Linked DNA regions of Coturnix japonica. The main gene of each other region encodes a partner of the protein of the gene in region 2 in a complex. Links are inferred from orthologs where the notes say so. Each region holds a gene or a part of one and is shown on either strand. Other genes may lie near its edges. The genes, in order: TPX2 and AURKA.

Evidence for each region.
Region 1: the proteins of AURKA (region 2) and TPX2 are in contact, whole or in part, in a crystal structure (PDB 3HA6), measured with the Homo sapiens proteins. The link is inferred for Coturnix japonica from reciprocal best matches to the Homo sapiens genes AURKA and TPX2. Residues at the interface, in NP_001310232.1 of Homo sapiens: Lys125, Arg126, Gln127, Trp128, Asp132, Glu152, Gln154, Ser155, Phe157, Leu159, Lys166, Glu170, Gly173, Glu175, Leu178, Arg179, Val182, Glu183, Ile184, Ser186, His187, Leu188, Arg189, Tyr197, Gly198, Tyr199, His201, Val206, Tyr246, Ser249; in NP_036244.2 of Homo sapiens: Gln3, Lys5, Ser6, Ser7, Tyr8, Ser9, Tyr10, Asp11, Ala12, Pro13, Ser14, Asp15, Phe16, Ile17, Phe19, Ser20, Ile31, Asp32, Trp34, Phe35, Glu36, Lys38, Ala39.

The regions. Positions count from the first base shown.
Region 1 is NC_029535.1:9,011,572-9,016,009, forward strand, and holds the start of TPX2 (targeting protein for Xklp2), read right to left. Parts: upstream 2,888-4,438; 5' UTR 2,758-2,887; intron 2,342-2,757; exon of another isoform or gene 2,217-2,341; intron 1,424-2,216; exon of another isoform or gene 1,252-1,423; intron 636-1,251; exon of another isoform or gene 505-635; intron 1-504. Other genes in the region: BCL2L1 (bcl-2-like protein 1), read left to right, coding at 3,387-3,938. UniProt on the Homo sapiens protein: Spindle assembly factor required for normal assembly of mitotic spindles. Required for normal assembly of microtubules during apoptosis. Required for chromatin and/or kinetochore dependent microtubule nucleation.
Region 2 is NC_029535.1:10,854,433-10,858,747, forward strand, and holds the start of AURKA (aurora kinase A), read left to right. Parts: upstream 1-1,493; 5' UTR 1,494-1,603; exon of another isoform or gene 1,604-1,612; intron 1,613-1,811; exon of another isoform or gene 1,812-1,898; intron 1,899-2,150; 5' UTR 2,151-2,181; coding exon 2,182-2,235; intron 2,236-3,104; coding exon 3,105-3,390; intron 3,391-3,967; coding exon 3,968-4,046; intron 4,047-4,315. Other genes in the region: CSTF1 (cleavage stimulation factor subunit 1), read right to left, coding at 85-255, 839-967. UniProt on the Homo sapiens protein: Mitotic serine/threonine kinase that contributes to the regulation of cell cycle progression.

The DNA.
Region 1 (4,438 bases), about 1.8 Mb from region 2:
ATAGAGCCCGGCCACCTCACACTCCGTAAATGAGATCCCACGGGTTCTAAGTGATACAGAGACAGGCACGGGCCTAAGAATAGCAGCCCAAGGAACCGGCTGGGTTATTTATAGGCAGGTAACCTCTGCTTATTATTAGATAAACTGACGTTCAAGCAACACAAAGAGCAGTATAACCATAGCCAATGTGACAGCAATGGCCTCACCAAGGGGCACCAATGGCCTCATCCTGACCCTTTTACTTCAATACCGAAGCATCAAATCCCTTTTCTCCCCCATTTCAGACACTGCTTTCTCCCCTTCCCCCCTCAGAGCCGTTCACAGCGTCAGGCTGCGGCCTACCCCCAACAAGCGGACAAAGGGGCCCAAAGCAGAACAGCAGCCCGTGCTGCCGGTACCGAGGCACACTCATGAAGCGGGGACAACACCAGGAAGGGCTGTGTGCGGCTGTGGGCAGCCCCGGTTGCCGTTGATTCCCGGTGTCCCCCCCCGTTCCTCACTCACCTCAGCGCCGCAGCCGCCGAGCGCGGGGCTTCTGCCCGCCGCCGTTAGAGGATTTCAAACGGGACTCGTCTTGTCCGAATGGACCAATCAACGCTCAGCTCACGCCCTCGTTGCGTGTTGATTGGACGGGCTGTCCAGACGTTAAAGAACCCGGATGAGCGCTCCCGCCCCTCCCGCGGGGGATGATGGGAAATGTAGGATTCGAACGGAAGGAACCGAAGCCTCAGCACCAGAAACAAACTGCTACTCCCATCATGCACAGGGAGAGAAAGGCTTCGACCAATCAGGGGAGGCGGGGCTCTGAAACAGCCAATCAGCTGCAGGGAGGCGGGTCTACCAGGCAGGGCCGGTTCCGCCCGTGTCTGCCCTCTGCCGAGTCTGCTCCTTGTTACCAACAGGTCAAGTCACCCGATTACAGCAGCCATAAGGATCCCCCCGCCCAGCCCCTCACTAACCTCACACCGCCCTCTATGGCCATGGATTCAAGCAGCCGCCTCATCCAGCCCTATGGCCACACCGGCCTTTCCCCGGCTGCAGCTCAGCTCCGAGTCACAGCCCCGAGTGCTGCGGGAACACAACGCACCTGCGGGCGGGGCAGCCGCCAGGGGGCGCTCGAGTCCAACCGGCCTCCTTGTCGCTGCGCATGCGCACTGCCACGGCCGCACAACGCACGCAGGCGCATGCGCACCGCACCTCAGACCGGCGGCGCCGCACGCATGCGCGCTGCCCCCTCCCTCCCTCCCGCCCCCCCCGGCTCGGCCCAGCAGCGCAATGTCCGCTCGGTGCTGATGCGGCGGGACACCGGGCACTGCTGACAGGCCCGACGGCCGGCTGGGCTCCCGGCCGAGCCCTGCGTCGTCACCGGTTGGGCCCATAGAGCGGGATCGGTCACAGCCCGGACCATCCACCGACCGCTGAGGTGAGGGGCGGAGCGGGGCAGGCCGTGAGTGACGGGCGGTTCCACCAATCAAAGCAGGCCGTTCTCTAGCTCCGCCCTCTCGGAGCTGTGGCGGCCGGTGATTGGCTGATGGCGAGGGGCGGGCTGTGTGCCCTATGGCGGCCCTCGTGTGCGGGCCCCGTGAGTGGGGACGGCGGCCGAGAGGGGCCATGGGAGCGGGTACGGCCTACAGCAACACCGGTACGAGGGGACCGGAGTGACGGCACTAAGGAAGCCGGGCTGTACGGCGAGACCCTGCCATAGTACCGGGGGGGAGCTCTTTGTTCAGCCGCCCTGTGGGTGCAGCACCCCGGGCTCTGCATCCTGCTGCCCCCAGCTCAGTGCTCCATGCATTGCATTGTATTGCATTGCATTGCATTGCATTACATTGCATTGCATTGTATTGTATTGCATTGCATTGTATTGTATTGTACTGCATTGTATTGCATTGCATTGCCCTGCAGCCCTTACCTGTGCCCCAGTCCTGCCCCACACTCTGACTCACCGCCAGGCTTTGGCACGAAAACCTTACAAAGAAACGCCAATTACTCAGAGCTCAACGCCGCCAGCAGAGGAGCGGCCCCTGCTTCCTTCATACATCAGAACGCTTCGTTATCTGCCTTTTGGAGAAGGAAAAGGCTCCACAACAGTGGGACCTCCCAGGGGCTGGCAGGGCTGGGGGCACCAGGAGGGCACGGAGCCTTGGCACTGAATAGGAGGGAGGGTAGGAGGGGTGGAGTGGGATGAGAGCACAGTGGGAGGGCTGGGGAGTTGCCTCCTCTCAGCGTCAAATTACTTTAATCCAACACCCTCAGCCAGAAGGAACGAGCTGCTGTTTCCCAGCCCGAGCTGCTATTTCCCAGGCTTTTCTCTGCCCTTTTTCTCAGGGTTGGGGTGTGGGTGAGTATAGAACAGTGACTCTGTGCTTTGTGCAGCCCTGCCTGCCCGCTGCTATGGGGCTTCGGGAGGAGCAGCCCCTCCGTGCTTTCCTTGCAGCCCCCAGGGTGGGGGGAATGCATTGCATGAAGGCTGCTGGGGTGCATGCAGGGACTGTAATACCTCGTGGGGAGGAGGGGCTGTGCAGAGGAAACAGCATTCAAACGACTGCAGGGACCTCAGTTTAAATAACATTACAAACAAACACCCTTTATTTCATCTGTGGTTTCATCTGCGTGTAGTTGCTGGAAGTCTTTAGAAGACTTCTCCTGGGGTTGTTCCTGTTCCTACCTTATTTCCAGGCCTGCTCCTCATACCGTGATACTGCACTGAGCCCTGCCATTCCCTTCTCCTCCAAAGGAGACCCCCGCACCTCTTACCTGCTGCTTTTAAAGGACACTTGGAGCCTTTCTCCCTCCCGTTCCCCCACGCTGGGGGCCGTTCCGAGGGACACGGGGCCGGGCCGAGCCACCGGGGATGGGAACGGGAAGCGGAGCCCGTAACCCAGCTCGGACACCGTCGGTCCCGCTGGGCAATGCCGGCGGGGGGCGCGGCCGGGCCCTTTAACGGGAGGGGCCGGGCGGGGGCGGTGCTGCCTCCGCCTCCGTGTCTCTCCGGGACTGACGGAGCGGAGCGGGGCCGGGCCGCCCGCAGCACCCGCAGCTCTCAGCCTCCGCCCGGCGAGCCCCGGCTCTGCCTGAGCCCGGTGAGCCCCGGGGCTGCGGGAGGGCTGAGGGTGACCCCGAGGGGGGATCCCCGTTCCGTGTGCGGCGGCGGTTCCGAGCGAAGCTGGGTGATGAGCTCAGTGTAACGTTAAGCTATTGATGTGCACGGCGCAGCAAGCTGTCGTGTTAACCGTTTCCTTGCCTCTCTTTTCCTCTCTGTGTGTCTGTGCAAAGGTCGGATGTGTTCGCCGGTGGTGAGGGAGCGTGGAGCCGGGAGCTGCTAAGTGTGCTTATCTGCTCGTGCACTGGACCATGGACTCATTGAGGGCGTTCCAGGTGTGAAAATGTCCGGCAGTAACCGGGACTTAGTGATTGACTTTGTTTCCTACAAGCTCTCGCAGAAGGGGCACTGCTGGAGCGAGCTGGAGGAAGAGGATGAGAACAGGACTGACACTGCGGCAGAGGCAGAGATGGACAGCGTCCTCAACGGGAGCCCATCGTGGCACCCGCCTGCCGGCCACGTAGTGAATGGAGCCACCGTGCACCGGAGCAGCATGGAAGTTCATGAAATCGTCGGAGCATCTGACGTGAGGCAGGCGCTGAGAGAAGCAGGGGATGAGTTTGAGCTGAGGTACAGGAGGGCTTTCAGCGACCTCACCTCCCAGCTCCACATCACCCCTGGCACGGCGTACCAGAGCTTCGAGCAGGTAGTCAATGAACTCTTCCACGATGGTGTGAACTGGGGGCGCATTGTGGCTTTCTTCTCCTTCGGAGGGGCTCTGTGCGTGGAGAGCGTGGACAAGGAGATGCGGGTACTGGTGGGACGCATTGTGTCTTGGATGACCACGTACTTGACCGACCATCTAGATCCCTGGATCCAGGAGAATGGCGGCTGGGTAAGAACTGCTCTCCCATAGGGATGGCTCCCTGCATCCTAGCTCAAGGCCAGATCAAGCTGCCTGCAGTGATTGTGCTTGTGCTCGGTCTAGACCTTGCAGGGCAAGAATTTGGTATGTGGCCCTTCCCTCTGCGTTCTTAATGCTCTGCTGCAAGAGGGTCAGTCCACTGTGTTGAAACAAAGAGTTAACGTTCTGATCTGTCCTCCTGCATCCCTTTTTCTCCTCCTTCTCCCTGGCTGTTACATAAGAGACCCATTTTCCAAGAGCCTGTGGAAATGTAATGTCAACCAAGCTTGTTCTTCAAATGGGAGCCCTTGCTCTCGGGCATGTTCCTCATGTCATTTAACAGCAGGGAGTGGAGCTTCCTCCTCTCTGTGCTCAGCAGTGTTCCAGCCCGGCCCTGTGATCTGGTGGGGTAACAGCTACTTCTTCATTCTGGAGATGGGACGATGTCTGCCGCTGCCATCGCAGTGCATTGAATCCTGCAGCCTCTCTCT
Region 2 (4,315 bases):
GAGGGAGCAGCTCATTATTGCGCTGCAACGAGCCGAGGCCTCGCAGCCGAACGCGGAGAACGACACGAGGCCGCCGGTACCTACCGACCCTTCCTTCTGCCTCCCTCGCTCTGCCCCTAAAATGGCGACCGGAGCTCTGAGCGCATCGATCGGCGGCGGCGGTAAAGGAGGAGGCGGCGGCGGCGGCCGAGACCGAAGAACGCTCCTCCGCGAGGGCTGCTGCATCGAGCGCCCGCACATCGATTGGAGCCGACTCTTAGGGGAGAGAACGGCGGCGTCACGTCACCGGTGACGCGTTAAGGACGCGACGGGCCGCTCTAACAGGACCCCTGCCTTGTTAAAGGACCCCCCGCCCGGTGGGGAAGGGGCGGGCTGCAGAGCGGAGCCCAGCGGGGATCCCGGGATCCAACGCCCCCTCCACCGTGGCTCGGACCCGGTTGCAGCCCGTGGGGTGACGTGTCGGGCAGGGCACAGCCTCGAGCAGGCCCAGGCGGCCCGTAGACACACAGAATGACCCGGGTTGGAAGGGACCTCAAGGATCACGTAGTTCCAACCCCCCTGCCTGGCAGGGCCACCAAACATACACCTTTACTAGATCAGGTTGCCCAGTACCGCCCCGTGCTGCCCATCGGAGCGTAGAGCTGCTATGAGCACCGCAGCTGGGGGCTGCGAGTCTGTGTTTGGGCTACAATACCCGCACGGTGCTGCCGGACACCGCAACACCTGCCATGGGGCACCACGGCACACAGGCCTCACGAGTGTTTAGGGCCGCCAGCTCAGCCAGCTCAGCCCCTTCCATGTCCCACCGCCACCCAACCCACAGCCCCGTGCTACTCACGTCAGCCTCCAGAAACGGCAGCCGTAGCGGCCGCGGGTCGAGCAGCGGAGCTGCCATGCTCCCCATACTCCCCATGCCCCGCGGCAGCTGCCGTCGGTCACACGCTGCAGCCACGCGACGACCGGACATCTTCTTTTTCCCTATGGTGTCCCGCTTGTCGACACCAACACACCGGGACCGCCCTCGAGCCGGGTCGTTAAGGACGCGGAGCCGCTGATAAGTTGCCTTCAATACCTTCAATCGCTTCTTCAGGCAGCGGGTCCCTCAGTGCTGTGAGACAGAGCAGCACCACGAGCCGCTCCGCAATGCACGAGCAGCACCGGGCGCTGTGCAGCCAACAGCCGGGCGTCCCCTCGTGCTGAGCTGGGTTGGTGCCCCCTTAAGGCTCGTTAAGGGCACGTGGAGCAGCGCCGTGCGAAGCTGAGGCCTGATGCTCCTCCTGCTGCTGCCCGTCGCACCTCAGCACACAATGGCCCCCAGCTCCCACTCGGCTTCACGCGAGGTGGCAGCGCCGCGTCTCCCTCAGCCCCAGGTGACGCTGAGGAGGATCGAGGTGTGAGCCCGGCTGGATGCAGCACTAACCTGGAGCCCTTCACCCCCGAGGCCTCGTTGAGCGGGAGTTGTAGCGCTGCCACAGGTGGGTGGGCTGGACGTAACGCGATTTGCGTAACGAGAGACCGCGGCCGGGCTGAGACTTACGGAGAGAAAGTGTGTGAGCTCGATCCACGCACTTGGAGTACGGAAGAAACAAGCGGCGGACAGACGGTACGTAAAGTACGTATGTAACGTAAACGCCGCCCAAAGGGTGGGCGGGTCGGGACGACGCGGGTACGCAGCGGGCCGCCGTTGCGCATGCGCACCGCAAGCTCACGGCGACGAGTCTAGGCCTCGCGACGAGCGGGGAGTCAGGAGAGCCAATGGGAAGGCAGGTAGACTGAAAAGCGGCCAATCGGAGGGCGCGGATGCCAGGAGAGGAGCCAATGGCGAGGGGGCGGAATTTTAAAGGCTATTTAAGGGAGGGAGGTTTGAATTCAAACAGTTGTAGCGGCCGCGGGCCGAGGTGAGTGTGGGGACGGCTGGGCCGGGTCGGGCCTCGCGTGGTGCTGTGCTGTGGCCTTACCTGCGGCCTTACCTGCCTCGAGGGCGGCCCAGCCGGCGTGTGGTGTGGGTACGGCCCGGCCGTTACGGAGCTGGGGCGGGCAGGCCTAGGGGGAGGCCTAAAGTGAGGCCTAGGGGGCAAAGGGAGAGCAGCACGTCCGAGGAGTGGCGCTGCTTGGAGGCTCAGCCCTGTTCTCTGTTTCATTCTCCATAGGTGAAAGTGTATCTTGCTTTTCTCGGGCACTATGGACAAGAAGATAAAAGAGAACTGTCCTGGGAACCCTTCTCGTGTTATTAAGGTGAGAGGCTTATCGAGTTGATGGGGGTGACTGAGCTTCTGGCTGCTGTTATTAACATCCAATTATTTAATTGGGAAGTCCTAGTAGTGCAGTTTTTATCCCTAATCAACTAATAAGACAGCAAAAACATACAGGCTGTGACTTGCAAAGGACGTGCTGCCTGAATGTTGTATATCTTTGTGCATGCCTTAAGATTACATATCTTTGTATACAGAAGCACGGACATTCTTTTCTTCTAATTTAAGTATAAACAGGTCCTTGTCAGGTTTTAAAGTAGTAGAAGCATGGTTTAAAATCAGCTTTCAATGCATTGGATCAAAAAAAAAAGGAGAATATAAGTCTTCCTAGAGAGTGAAGGCATCAGTAACAGATCATTAGCATTTGAATTTAATTCTAGAGCAACTAAGCATTACTTAAATATTAGTTTAAATTTCCTTCCTCGACTGAAAGAAAAGGATTAAAAGTAGGTAAAGGAACTATCCTAAACTTGGCTTTGTTCTGATGAACTCCTGTAGTAGCGCAAGGCATCTTAAAATACACATCACTCAAGGGAACAGTGACTCAAAGCATTGTATGTGAACAGGATTCCTATAGTAAAGGCTGGTCTGAGCTTTCCACTGTTATCTACACTTTGGTGGCTCTGTGTCTAGTTATGAATAAGTATGTTGTTAATAAGACAGTAGTTTTCTACAAGTCAATTCAATTCTTAAAAAATAAGATCAGAGTAATTTTAACATCTTCTTTTAATATACTGGTTTTTTTTCTCCTCCCTATCTTTTTCTGCAACCTGTACCTAACACTGTTGTACAGGGACATAAAGGTTATAGTGTTCTATTCTATTACTAATGTGCAGTTGTTGTTTTTTGAAGGCAGCGAATCCAGTTGTGGATGGCCCAAAACGTGTCCCTGTGTCTCAGAGTTCTGCCCAGAGCCAGCCACTGAACAGTGGAGTTCAACTGCAACGTGTTCTGTGTCCTGCAAATTTTGCCCAGCGAGTTCCTGTACAATCACAAAAAAATTCTTCACTGTCAAACCAAAAACTGTCTAACAATCAGACAACACAGCAGCCCCGACCAAAACTTCCAGTCCAGCCAACTGCTGGGCCTCAGGTTCCAAGCAAGAGCAGTGAAAAACCTCAACAAGCTCCTGGACCTGGTAATTCCAAAGATGATACATTTCTGTGTTTGTGACACTCAGGAGAATTCAAACAAGAGTGCAGGACAGAAAATGTAAAGCTCACACTAACGACATGTTGGACAGTCCTGTAGAAGAATAGATGGTTGCACCCAGAAAGAGAAAAGCAGCACATACTTCATCTTAGATATTACTGTACTGTCCTTGTTGCTAGAGTTAAGGATTTAGAGGAGCTAATAGAAGTGTTCCTCCAGTCTTGAAAATTTACAGATGCTCATTAGTCAACTTTGAATACATGCAATTGGTATCCCTGCATCATGTTTTTTTCCAGTGTTCATGGTAATCTGATACACAAGAACACTGTATGAGCAGGAGGGAGAAGACTTCTTAATGTTTTCATGAGTTTCAAAAAAGCATTTGAAGTTACACTTTGATAAAGTAGCTCTAACTGCTTTGCTGCTTTGCCACTGGTAAGCTATGCTAGGTTTTAAATACAGAGGATAGACAGTAAATTGCTGTAGATACTACCCAGACTTATTCCTTGTGAATGTTTTGCATTCGCTGGTGGTTTATAGTTGTTCTATTTGATTGTATACAGCAAAGAGTTCTGAAGCAGACAGTGTCTCTAAACAGAAAAGTGAAGAGCCTACTAAAAAGAAAAAGGAAGACACTAAAAAGTAAGTTGCGGGCCTTAAAAACTTACAGCTGTTAGTTGTGCTTTCAATGTCTAGCAGTTCATGCTACAACTGAGTTGCAGCCAAGCTGCTGCCTACTTAAGCCTCTTGATTGCTAAGAACAGTGGCCTTCATAGAGACAATGTTTATTAATGAAACTCTGGGAAGGGTTACTTTGCTTTGGTAATCTTTAGGAACAATAAATTACTTTAATCTGAAGGAAAGCTTTTGGCACAAAAAGGAGCAACTTTTCCTGTGAGAGAATGCTGATA